Neodiprion lecontei: one gene and its partner. The protein of the gene in region 2 binds, or shares a complex with, the protein of the main gene of each other region. Links are inferred from orthologs where the notes say so. Each region holds a gene or a part of one and is shown on either strand. Other genes may lie near its edges.

What was found.
Region 1: ATP-dependent RNA helicase SUV3 homolog, mitochondrial (region 2) and polyribonucleotide nucleotidyltransferase 1, mitochondrial share a complex: the UniProt entries of both Homo sapiens proteins name them as parts of the mitochondrial degradosome (mtEXO) complex. The link is inferred for Neodiprion lecontei from reciprocal best matches to the Homo sapiens genes SUPV3L1 and PNPT1.

The regions. Positions count from the first base shown.
Region 1 is NC_060264.1:16,919,096-16,923,938, forward strand, and holds the start of polyribonucleotide nucleotidyltransferase 1, mitochondrial, read right to left. Parts: upstream 3,138-4,843; 5' UTR 3,060-3,137; intron 1-3,059. UniProt on the Homo sapiens protein: RNA-binding protein implicated in numerous RNA metabolic processes. Catalyzes the phosphorolysis of single-stranded polyribonucleotides processively in the 3'-to-5' direction. Mitochondrial intermembrane factor with RNA-processing exoribonulease activity.
Region 2 is NC_060261.1:12,083,059-12,091,135, forward strand, and holds the start of ATP-dependent RNA helicase SUV3 homolog, mitochondrial, read left to right. Parts: upstream 1-1,855; 5' UTR 1,856-2,065; coding exon 2,066-2,142; intron 2,143-2,278; coding exon 2,279-2,311; intron 2,312-2,393; coding exon 2,394-2,623; intron 2,624-3,304; coding exon 3,305-3,527; intron 3,528-3,627; coding exon 3,628-3,796; intron 3,797-3,902; coding exon 3,903-4,014; intron 4,015-4,110; coding exon 4,111-4,241; intron 4,242-4,355; coding exon 4,356-4,669; intron 4,670-4,796; coding exon 4,797-4,938; intron 4,939-5,020; coding exon 5,021-5,179; intron 5,180-5,296; coding exon 5,297-5,476; intron 5,477-6,628; coding exon 6,629-6,777; intron 6,778-6,892; coding exon 6,893-7,014; intron 7,015-7,093; coding exon 7,094-7,171; intron 7,172-7,253; coding exon 7,254-7,369; intron 7,370-7,660; coding exon 7,661-7,723; 3' UTR 7,724-7,771; exon of another isoform or gene 7,772-7,908; intron 7,909-7,914; 3' UTR 7,915-8,077. Other genes in the region: phosducin-like protein, read left to right, coding at 67-694, 765-997. UniProt on the Homo sapiens protein: Major helicase player in mitochondrial RNA metabolism. Component of the mitochondrial degradosome (mtEXO) complex, that degrades 3' overhang double-stranded RNA with a 3'-to-5' directionality in an ATP-dependent manner.

The DNA of each region.
Region 1 (4,843 bases), on a different chromosome or scaffold from region 2:
GGAATTTTTTTTGCAGATTTCTTTAGCCACCACTGAAATAGAAAAAAATTGTAAAACCAATTCTGAAAAAGCTTCTTTTAAAATTCTGAAGAAATTCAAACTAATTTTATAATTAAGAATATTATTTGTAAGTACGACACGATAACGTGATCTCAACATCTACTACTTTTCTAGCAAGTTTTTTTTCTCATGCCGGAATTGGAGTTTCTATTTATTTATTCGGTCATAAATTTCTCTATTATTAATGGATTTCAATTTTTCTGAAATCTAGAGGAATGCCAGAAGGCCTGAATATAGTTCATACCATTTCATTCTTTTTTTTCAAGTTATTCAAAGATCCAAGAAAACTAAAAACTTGCGAAAACTATAGTAAATGTAGAGATCCCTTTATCGTGTCGTGCTTAAGAATCATATTTTTAATTATAAAATCAGTGTGAATTTTTTCAGAATTTTGAAAGAAGCGTTTTCGGAATTGGTTTTTCAATTTTTTTCTATTTCAGTGGTGGCTAAAGAAATCTGCAAAAAAAATTCCGACACTGTTTTAAGTCGATTGAAACCGTGGTTGCAACATCATACCAAACAATTATCAAAAGCGAAGAGGGTGAGGTACATGGGTTGCAAATTTGACGTGGAATGCCCAACATACAATGTATATCTATTGGGATGGTCGTTAAACGGATTTTTTACGTTAATGGCTTCGAATACAAAAAACCATCTCTAATTTTTTCAGATTTTCATTTCGAGCTCTTAGTGGCCTTATGTGATTTTCTTTTTAATTAGAAAAAAAGGTAATTAATGATTTCCGGAATCTCGCCTATTGACAGTGATCTCAGATAGGAAATATCCTCAGGTTTAGGGAAAAAATAATTAAAGAAATCCCACCTGTGCGCAAAATTGTTAAGAATCGATTTGAATACCAAAAAATTAAGGAAATTTGGAAATTGAGGAACATGTTTTCCCAAAAAAAAAAAAAGTTAAAACGATCGAAAATGTGTACTACATTCTTGGGCACTAGAATGGAATTCCCCACACATTTTCTTCCTATACAATTAAAAATAAAAAAGTTTGACAATTCAAGGAAAATTAAATAAAGTATAAAATACGACTACAGGTCCTTCCCTTTTTTTCTCTTTTTAATCTATAAAGTAAATAGACGAGCGTCAAACCTGCCGGTTTTTGCATGCATGTAAAATAATTATGTAATTCACTTACCATCTTGATACCTCGAGAGCTGCTGGCATTAAACTGAACACTGTGAAGCCTCTTAACTGGCTGCCAATATCAGAAAAGGAGAGGGGTCCATACATTGTTGCTACTGAAATAATTTTGTCGTTCCGATCTCGCATCTCTCAAAATTCTTAAGAAATGCTCGTCAAGACTGATATAAAATGGGCGTTTTTTTTTTAATAAGGAAAAGTTTTGACAGTAATGGAAAATAGAGATTACTAAAAACAAATGTATTGTTTTTTAATAACACCGGCCCAATTAAATTTTAAAAGGCTTATGGTTGAATAAACTTCAGATTTGGGTTTAGCGGACCAAAATGCATAAAAATCATACTTGGTCTATACTTCCATAAATTTTTTTCTTACCAAAACTGCTAATTTTTGGCTATTTTTATGGTTTTTTGCAATTTACTCAAAATTTTGAGGGTGTACGGGCAAAACTGACTTCAGATTCGGATTCAGTGCGTCAAAATACATAAAGATAGGTAGGTCCGGTCAAAAGTACAGACCTCTTTTTTTTTATTTTTGTGGACCGGTGTTATTAAAAAACAATACATTTGTTTTTAGTAATCTCTATTTTTCATTACTGTCAAAACTTTTCCTTATTAAAAAAGAGGCGCCAAAAACGGGGAATAAATCGATTCACACTCGGAATTTTATTGTTTCAATTATTTGTTCTCTTCTGGATTACCCCCACTACAAAAAGGGTGGGTTCAGTAAAACAAAAAGCAAAAGGAAAGAAGGAAAAAATCGACCGGCTCTGGAAATTTTCTTTCTTTCATTTGTTTTTTCTCTCCGAAAATACAAAAACAAAAGCCGGGATTGAATTTAAAAAAAAAAAAAAAAAAAAGAGTGAACTGCGATCGAACCCGTGTCCCGCATCACTCCATCCTCATTTTTTTTTTTTTTTTTTTTTTTTTTGAGAAAGAAACCATATTTATTTAGATGAACAATAAATGTACAATATTTACAATGTTGCACTTGTAATTATCTTAGCTTATGTAACTCCGGCTTAAATTTTAAGCTCAATCTAACATTTTGTTTTACATTAAGTGGTTAACTTATTTTTTAGTGTTTTGTTTAAGACTTGAATACAGTATTATAGCAAAGGCAGCAGTAATTAACTTAAATACAGGAAAACTTCGCGCAAAAACCTGTGATTGAAAATTCATCCTCATGTGGTATCCACTCAGCCACACCACAGCTACGTCCGTGAGCGCGCGTTTGCTCGGTATGTTTATGGAGCTTGCTTGGAATTCGCTGATGCTTCTCTGGAAGATTCAGTTCGAGAAAAAAAAAAAATTTCCCCCAACCACTTGCCCATTGCACATTTTGCATAAATGTTATCGAGCTGGCTTCGTATATTTTTCCATAGACTGCGTGCACAAATATTCGAGAATACCAGGCGTCACATATTTTCATATCAATAAAAAAATAATATGTATTAAAAAAAAAAAAAAAAGTATTCGGACTGGGAATAGTTAACTAATTTGGTTCAGCGTCCGCTAATTGATTCCAAGATTTATCAAATCTGGAGATACTTTTATTCGCTGACATTCATAACTGAAACAAAAAAAATCCCAATTCTTGCATTCCTGGAAACATCTGTGCGAGCGGGGACAAGGATGCGATTGGCAACCACTTGCTCGAGCAGCCGAGTGTATCTATATATACACGATTGTGGGCCACCTTCGGTGCATGGCCGCTTGATGTCAGGTCGGAAATGGGCCACCTTCGGTGCGTGGCCGCCTAGGTGTCACGTCGACGCTCCAACTTAGCTGGTATCACGAAAAGCCGAGCGTTGGAGATCTCCCTACTCATCTCTGGTATCACTAGAGGAGATATCACGCATAGAGACTAGAGGCAAGAGTATGGACAGAGATGAGTAGGGAGATCTCCAACGCTCGGCTTTTCGTGATACCAGCTAGGTTGGAGCGTCGACGTGACACCTAGGCGGCCACGCACCGAAGGTGGCCCATTTCCGACCTGACACCTAGGCGGCCATGCACCGAAGGTGGCCCACAATCGTGCATATATAGATATACTCGGTCGCTCGAGCAAGCGGTTGCCAATCGCATCCTTGTCCCCGCTCGCACTAATGTTTCCAGGAATGCAAGAATTGGGATTTTTTTGTTTCAATTATGAATGTCAGCGAATAAAAGTATCTCCAGATTTGATAAATTTTGGATTCAATTAGCGGACGCTGAACCAAAATAATTAACCATTCCCAGCCCGAATACTTCTTTTTTTTTAATAAATATTATTTTTTTATTGATATGAAAATATGTGACGCCTGGTGTTCTCGAATATTTGTACGCGCTGTCTATGGAAAAATATACGAAGCCAGCTCGATAACATTTATGCAAAATGTGCAATGGGCAAGTGGTTGGAGGAAATTTTTTTTTTCTCGAACTGAATCTTCCAGAGAACCATCAGCGAATTCCAAGCAAGCTCCATAAACATACCGAGCAAACGCGCGATCACGGACGTAGCTGTGGTGTGGCTGAGTGGATACCACATGAGGATGAATTTTCAATCACAGGTTTTTGCGCGAAGTTTTCCTGTATTTAAGTTAATTACTACTGCCTTTGCTATAATACTGCATTCAAGTCTTAAACAAAACACTAAAAAATAAGTTAACCACTTAATGTAAAACAAAATGTTAGATCGAGCTTAAAATTTAAGCCGGAGTTACATAAACTAAGATAATTACAAGTGCAATATTGTAAATATTGAGCATTTATTGTTCATCTAAATAAATATGGTTTCCTCCTCAAAAAAAAAAAAAAAAACATGAGGATGGAGTGATGCGGGACACGGGTTCGATCGCAGTTCACTCTTTTTTTTTTTTTATTTTTAAATTCAATCCCGGCTTTTTTTTTTGTATTTTCGGAGAGAAAAAACAAATCAAAGAAAGAAAATTTCGAGAGCCGGTCGATTTTTTCCTTCTTTCCTTTTGCTTTTTTTTTTACTGAACCCACCTTTTTTGTAGTGGGGGTAACCCGGAAGAGAACAAATAATTGAAACAATAAAATTCCGAGAGCGAATCGATTTGTTCCGCGTTTTTGGCGCCTCTTTTTTGATATGGAAAAGTTTTGACAGTAATGGAAAATAGAGATTACTAAACGCAAATGTATTGTTTTTTAATAACACCGGCCCACAGAAAAAAAGTGGCCTGTACTTTTGACCGGACCTACCTATCTTTATGTATTTTGACGCGCTGAATCCGAATCTGAAGTCAGTTTTGCCCGTACACCCTCAAAATTTTGAGTAAATTGCAAAAAAACCATAAAAATCGCCAAAAATTAGCATTTTTGGTAAGAAAAAAATTTATGGAACTATAGACCAAGTATGATTTTTATGCATTTTGGTCCGCTAAACCCAAATCTGAAGTTTATTCAGCCATAAGCCTTTTAAAATTTAATTGGGCCGGTGTTATTAAAAAACAATACATTTGTTTTTAGTAATCTCTATTTTCCATTACTGTCAAAACTTTTCCTTATTAAAAAAAAAACGCCCATTTTATATCAGTCTTGACGAGCATTTCTTAAGAAGTTTGAGAGATGCGAGATCGGAACGACAAAATTATTTCAGTAGCAACAATGTATGGACCCCTC
Region 2 (8,077 bases):
AATAATTCCGCTCTTCGTGTATTAAATAGAGGTACAACAGAAAGCTCTAGCCCAAAAGAGAACGGAATGGCAACACTTGAGGATAAAATTTTGGGTGAAAAATTACAATATTACTGCAGTAGTTCAAGTGAAGACGAGGGGCAAGACTCAGCGGATTCTGAAGATGAACAAAAGTCGCAGAAACCGTGCGACGCGACAGCGTCAAGGTCTGAGCAACTGCCTGAGTGTGCAAAGTGGGACGGAACTTCAAGCAACACAGGGCCGAAAGGGGTCTTAGGCGACTGGCAGCGGTTTAAACAAATAGAGGCAGAGAAGAAAGTCGAACAGGAGAAGGAGAGGATCGAGCTGCTGAAGAAGTTGAGTTTGACTTGCAGGAGTGCTCTTGACGAGGAAAAAGATAATCTTGAGGAAACCGATCCAGAGTTGGCAGATTTGATGAACGACGAATTTTTACTCAATTATCAGAAGCAAAAAATGATGGAAATGCTCACTCGGGCTGAAAAATTAAGATTTGGCCGGTTATTCAACTTGGTAACTGCTGATCAATTTCTGGAGGCCATCGACAACGAACATGAATCTGTTACCATCGTTATTCATATTTATGAACCTGACATAGAAGGATGTGAGACTATGAATGGCTGTTTACTTTCACTGGCCATCGAATATCCCAGCGTTAAATTTTGCAAAATTCAAGGTGAGATGGTGAAAGAATTCCAAACTTCTATAAAAGAACATTGCAGTTGCTAATGCTGAATTATTTTTAGGCTCCGCCGCAGGCTTAAGTAGGCACTTCAAAAAGGAGGGAGTTCCAGCACTGCTTGTTTATAAAAACAAACAAGTCATAGGTAATTTTGTTCGTGTCACAGATCACCTTGGAGTTGACTTTTATTCCTCTGATGTTGAACATTTTTTAATCGAGCATGGAATGATAAGTGACAGAAACTGTATTCCATCAATTGTTTCTACTAAGAGAAATGCAGATTCTGACAGCGACTAGAAAAATGAACGAAATAGAGACTGGAGATTATATGTGGTAAAAATGTATTTAATATTTATAGTAACTATACTTATATGAACTATGTAACAATAAACCTGAAGCTCCTGTATATTTTATCTATGCTGTTCGTAAGTATGACGATTGGTTTTCTCGTCATTTACATAGAGTGAATTATCTGTAAATGAATGGTTCTTTGATCCAATGGCATTGACTGAAAAGTTGGTAAAGATGTTGCATAGATTTGGTTTTCTGAAAACTAAACTTTTCCAATCATAACATAACTAGTAATAAATTGCTCTTTTTGCAACCAACTGATTTGCATAAATTTTGCCATTGAAATTATACGTGTATCAGTAATGCAAAAATTTTAATTGACACGAAAGAATACAAAATCGGACTCTCGTGAATAGCGGAAAATTAGGCAACGCAATGAACCCAATGAATAAAAAAGGTGGAAGATGTTCTTGGGAATTTTCAGTGTTGACAAGCATTGGTTGGCAGCAGGTTTTGCAACTCGCATTGAGAAGGGTTTTAGAAAGCTTTGGAACGCACAACTCATTTCAAACTGTCTAAAGTCCCAACGCACACCTTTGGATAAATCCAAAATTAGGCTCGAGACTATCGCGAAAATGTTTCTAGACGCACAGTTAGTAGATTGAGTTACCAAATACCGATTAAGCATTGAAATGCATTGGACAATTCATTCAATCACTTGTTTCAGATAAACCAGGGAAGAGTCATAATTTAAGAATAAATTAACTAATTGTACGGCATTCTCAACTTTTGTAAATGCTTACTGTTGCGCCACGGAGTAATGGCGCTTTTCATTGGCTACACTTGCGGATGCGCACTGATTACGGTTCTTCTAGTATCTCGTTTCAACTATTGGTTGAAAACAGTGGAATCTCACTCAGTGCGCGCACCGGCAGTCGGCACGCTCGATTGTAATTTTTTGATCCGCAGGTCTTTCCGAAACATAACCTATTGCACGATGAACGTTATTTGATATTTAAAGATAATCTGATTTCACTCTGGTTTGGATGTTGTGAAATTAATAAATATATAAAAATGATACCGACAACCCGACGTATATCGGAATCCCTACTTCGAAGAAGTGGGATCCTGTGCACCACTTTACAAGACAGGTAGAGTATAATATCTCTATTATATACTTTTATATTGTAATAAGGTAATCGACACACATTATTCATATTTATTCACTTATTATAACCTATGGTCAATTTTGTATTCCTATATCCTACAAATATTTTATTGTAACAGGTGTAAGTGTGAGGTGAGTTTAATCAACAACAGGTAAAGTTTTATAAAAATTATTGAATGTAATAATTTTATGAATTGATTTCTAATACATTACGCGTTATTTTTTATTTTTCAGATATCTTAGAATTGGAGCTTATTTAGCACAACCTTTGCGGGGAAAAAAAGATGACTCGACTACAATCACATCTTTGTTCAAACCAGTTCCCGTCAAGTCGAACCCAGATGATATTAACGTGGGAGTTGAACTTAGTGGGGCTCTCAACAAAGCTGACCTCCTGAAAGTGCTCAATCAATTCTATCAAAGAAAAGAGATCAAGGTGCTCGCCATGGAACACGGATTGGACAGTGAGTACTTAAGGTGCTTCAACTCGTTATTTCAGTTTTCTCAACTTCCCGCTTTGGTATTTTTATAGAAAAAGGAAAGTTTTTATAATTACCCTGAAAATGAAAAGTTGTGTTTTCACTATATTTCTACTATTTAAGGCCTGGAGAATCTTCTCTGATCACTTTCAGGTGGACATCTCGATTTGAGTGTATGATCGTTTTTTGGTGGCAATTACTGAAAGATTAGATTTTATTATTTTGGCCTTAATTGATTCAGTTTTGCTTGACTCAGAACTGACTAGAATTTGAACTTAATTCTTGTGGTATCTCAAAAACGTCTAGATGCAGATGAAACTTGCTTCATGGGTTTAGCTTTATTAATATAAAGCTGATTAGATTTTTACTAAAATCAGTTGAGCCTTTAAAGTTATTTTCAAAATTATAAATCATGTAGTCTGAAATTTTTATCTTCATCGATAGTGGGAGTAGCTGGAAGTTCTGAGATTGATCCTCTCAAGTTGAGTAGATTTCCCTGCTTGTTTCCACCCGTTTTATCGCTGTAAATTACATTCAATAAACATTGTCCTACAAAAGCCAATGTAAATGCTTCTGTTGGTTGTTTCCTCCCTACTTTTGGTTCATTGCTCTTAGTTTTTCTGCATTATTTTGGAGACTGCACACACAAATATGAACGTCTTGCAGGTTACTTACAACATCAAACCTTCATCAGTTTTCGACGCTACTGCTTAGATGCTGAAACCTTGCCGGCAGACTTGCATGTTGTAATAAGCGACATAATGCAAGGAGCCGGGCATGTCGATGACATATTTCCGTACTTTATGCGTCATGCGAAACAGACTTTTCCCCATATTGAATGTATGGATGATCTCAAGAAAATAAGCGATCTACGCACACCTGCTAACTGGTATGAATAAAACAGTGGAAATATTTGCTTCTGTATTTTGAATAGAGCTTCATATTTATAACCAGAAATATGCGCAAATTAAATAACTATCATTTTGCAGGTACCCGTTAGCGAGAGCTAAGACAAGAAAAATTATATTTCATGCTGGACCAACGAATAGTGGTAAAACTTACCACGCGCTACAGAGGTTCATGACTGCAAAAAGTGGATTATATTGTGGGCCGCTGAAGTTGTTGGCTGCAGAAGTGTTCAATAAAAGCAACACTAACGTGAGGATTCAGTAATTCATTAGAACTGTTTTTGAAAATCTTGCAAATGTTCTTCATTGTTTTGAACGTTATCGCAATACTCTGTTTATCCTGCATCTTTTTCCAGGGTACCCCATGCGACTTAATTACCGGAGAAGAGAAAAATTTTGCGAAAGGTGCAGACAACCCTTCAAATCACATATCTTGCACAGTCGAAATGGCCAACACAAACGCTGCATGTAAGGTTATATCCTTTGATTCAATTATTCATTACATATTACGTTTAAGTATAAAAAAAAAAAGGAAACGAATGGAATAAAATTAATTTATTTTAGGTGAGGTTGCCGTCATAGATGAAATCCAATTGATGAAAGATCCAGGTAGAGGCTGGGCATGGACTAGAGCTTTGCTAGGACTGCCAGCCGATGAAATTCACCTTTGCGGAGAAGCTGCTGCGATAGACTTAGTCAGTATATATTTCAAAATTCGTTGAAAAATCAATGAATTTGATGGCCAACGATTCATAAATTTACATGGGTGAGATATGCTGTCCGAATCACTAATGATTGCTATATGTTAGGTCCGCTCCATATGTATCACAACTGGAGAGGATGTTGAGGTACGGAGATATAAACGTCTGACTCCGTTGGAAGTCGAAGAGTCTGCACTGAAATCACTGGACAATGTAGTTGCAGGAGACTGTATAGTTTGCTTTAGTAAAAATGAAATATATTCTGTGTCTCGTAGCATCGAATCTCGTGGTATTGAAGTGGCAGTTATATATGGAAGCCTTCCACCAGGAACAAAACTAGCTCAAGCAGCAAAATTCAATGACATCAATAACCCATGTAAAGTTTTAATTGCTACTGATGCTATCGGGATGGGTTTGAATTTGTTAGTATCGTTCTTTTTTTTTAAATCGTAATTTTTCCAATGATAAAGGCGAACTCAAATAGCATGTGTGGAAAAAAATTTCGATGTTTAATCATTCGCGTTTTTTTACACATATTTCATTTGGCAGGAGTATACGAAGGATAATATTCTACTCTTTGATGAAGCCGACTATCAATGAAAAGGGCGAAAAAGAAATTGACACGATACCTGTGTCCTCTGCTCTGCAAATAGCTGGACGAGCCGGGCGTTATGGTACACAATGGGAGAAAGTAAATCATTTTTAAAAATTCGGTGTTCAATTCTATCACGCTTATTCGACTTCCCGGAGTTGTAGTTGCTTTGTTGTTTCAGGGATATGTAACAACTTTTAGACCAGATGATCTATCCAAGCTGCAACACTTGCTTTCACAAGAACCAGAAGTCCTTACTCAAGCTGGTTTACATCCAACCGCTGATCAAATAGAACTATATGCTTACTACCTGCCTGATTCTACTCTGTCTAATCTAATGGTGATTGTTTCAATACATCATAATATATTTAGGAATCAGCAGATTTGCATCGAGTCCGTAAATTGTACTCTTTTTTCAGACTTACAATTAATTATTAATCGTTCTTTCCTATTGCAGGATATTTTCGTATCGCTATCTATAGTGGACAACTCTTTATACTTCATGTGCAATCTAGACGATTTCAAATTTCTTGCTGATATAATTCAGCACATCCCGCTACCATTGCGCGCACGATACGTATTTTGTTGTGCGCCGATAAATAGGAAAATACCATTTGTGTGCACAATGTTCTTGAAAGTAAGCTGATCATGCTCAACCAATCTATTCTAATAATATCACATATTCTACTACATTAGTCACGCTCAAAAAGTTCAATTGAAACTGATTAACAACATTTAAGTCAGAAAGATTCCAAATTGTGTATCTGTAATTTCTGATCAAGTACAAACGGGCTGTACTGTCTAAATTGAATGCTAGGACAAGTCAACAAAAATCATTTAGAAAATCTCCAGCAGCTTTATGTGCGGCAATGACGGTGAATACGAATGAAATAACATCTCTACTGTGTACTATAAATGAATATGACCATGTTCGAATAAGAAAAGCTAAGATATCAACCATCAGACAAAAAGATTTATAATCAGAACGCTCAAGATGTTCAAACTTTGGTATTTTCGAATTGATTCTTATTCTTTGAGCTTACTGTGTTTGCCATAGAGCTTTGAGGGTACATTGAAAAAAAAAATTCATAAACAGTTGTGCTTATAGTGGATAATGTTTGTGCAGCACAGCACAATAGATGTTTCTCAACAATTATATTTGCACGTTGTAATTATACTATAATATAAGATTCAGTGAATGTTTTTAACAATTTGTGGAGGTCTAGTCAGCGAGCAAAATGAGCCCAAAAATATTAAAATCGGCTAAAAAACACAACAGTTTAGGAATTTCCAATGTTCTGATTATAAAACCTTTTCTCAAATTGTTAATACTTTATCTTAGTGATACGAATTTACTGAAAATCATTTTTATCTCATATTAGGGATATTGTTGTGATCGTGTTCGCTATCATTGGCACAAAGAAAAACACCGTTGAAGATTGGAGCAATTTTTTTTTCTTTCCGAACCTTTAATTTAGACTATATGGTTCATTCATTCTTTAATTCAATTGGGATCCAAAATTTTGCCTCGGTCTTAGTTAAAAAAGAAAAAAATTATGCAAATATCAATGGGCAGTAAACTTTGTCCAAATGAGTTTTTTTCTTTATACGAAGTCGTCAAATAATAAAATATACGTAAAAAAAGAACAATAATATCAAATACGACACGGTTAACATTGCGCAATTTTTCTGCTACTGGATAGCGTCTAAATATTTTGGATCCCAATAAATATTGTTTGCCTAAAAAAATACGTATTTGAACATAATTTTGATATTTGATTTTGTATAGTTCGCTCGACAATACAGTAAAAATGAAACGTTGACGTTTGACTGGCTTTGTCAAAACATCGGTTGGCCAGTCGCCGCACCAAGAACAATCATAGATTTGGTTCATTTAGAAGCAGTATTTGATGTCTTAGATCTCTACCTTTGGTTCAGGTGAGAAATTATTTTGAGTTCAGCCATTAGAATTAGATAGGTATTACAAATTCAGTTGAATTCAAAAATGCCTAAGCATCAGATTCACGGTATTTGTTTTCTTATTTGCTGCTAGTTATCGATTCATGGACCTCTTGCCTGATGGAGATATTGTGCGAGATACTCAGAAGGAGTTGGATGCAGTTATACAAGAAGGCATAGTTCAACTAACACAGCTTTTAAAGACCTCAGAGTCAGGTTTGTTGAAGACATTACATATTAAAATTTCTGGTAAATTGTGCCATGCCATGTTCCAACATTATCAAATCATTTTCAGGTTCAAACAATGGTGCTGTGTTAGCTCCTGACGAAGATCACTTTGCACTGAACACCCAGAAGAACAAATACTTCAGAGGTTATTTTATTTGTTACAATGTACATTATTTTTTGTTAACTGGCCTGTTGATAACCTTGCTTCCATTATTTTCAACCTATAGATTCTAGAAGTGTCACAGCCAAGACTTTGGGACAAGGTAAATTAACAGAAAGATTACTGGCACAAGGACTTCTTACTCCAAGCATGTTGAACGAATTGCGGAGAGAATGGAATCAGGTATGAACAGTGTTCATTGAAGCTCGCCAATAGAAAAACTTGATGCTAACAATGTCAAATTCAGTTATAGTTTTGAAATGATCTCGCAAGAACTTAGACCTAACAAATTGTATTTATCAGTTCCTAAAGATATCTGTTCCGTCCAAATAATTTCAGCCAAATACTTTTTAGTAACATTTGTCCAAAAAAAGTTAGTCAAATCAGTATTTGCAGTTGTTAAAATTCAAATTTCTTTTTTTTTTTTAATTTAACCAACATTTTTGTCATTCCTTAGTTTTATTTTTTGTATAGTTTACCGATGACAATGAATCAAGTCGTCCAAAAAAAACCGGACGGAAACGTAAACTGAAATGAAGTGTTCCTGTTCATTGCCGAAATTTCTCCACAATTCAAGAGCCAATCGTAAGTACAATGAATAAGAATTTGTAGTGTAAATGATGGTACGAAAGATTTCTGTTTCATTTTTGTACAATGTATGGCAGTAAACTACTACGTATGTGTAAATTAAAGTAATCATTAATTCACAAAGAACATTTTCTTTTCAGTGATTTTAATGAAAGAATTAAAATTGATTAAGAATTTATAATTTTATGCGACATCAAATTTATACTCCATTCTTTGAAACTGTTATATTAATCCTTTTATGTGTAGTTCACATATGATATGAAATGTATCACAGCATAAAATGTGATATGCTGTATAGATGTA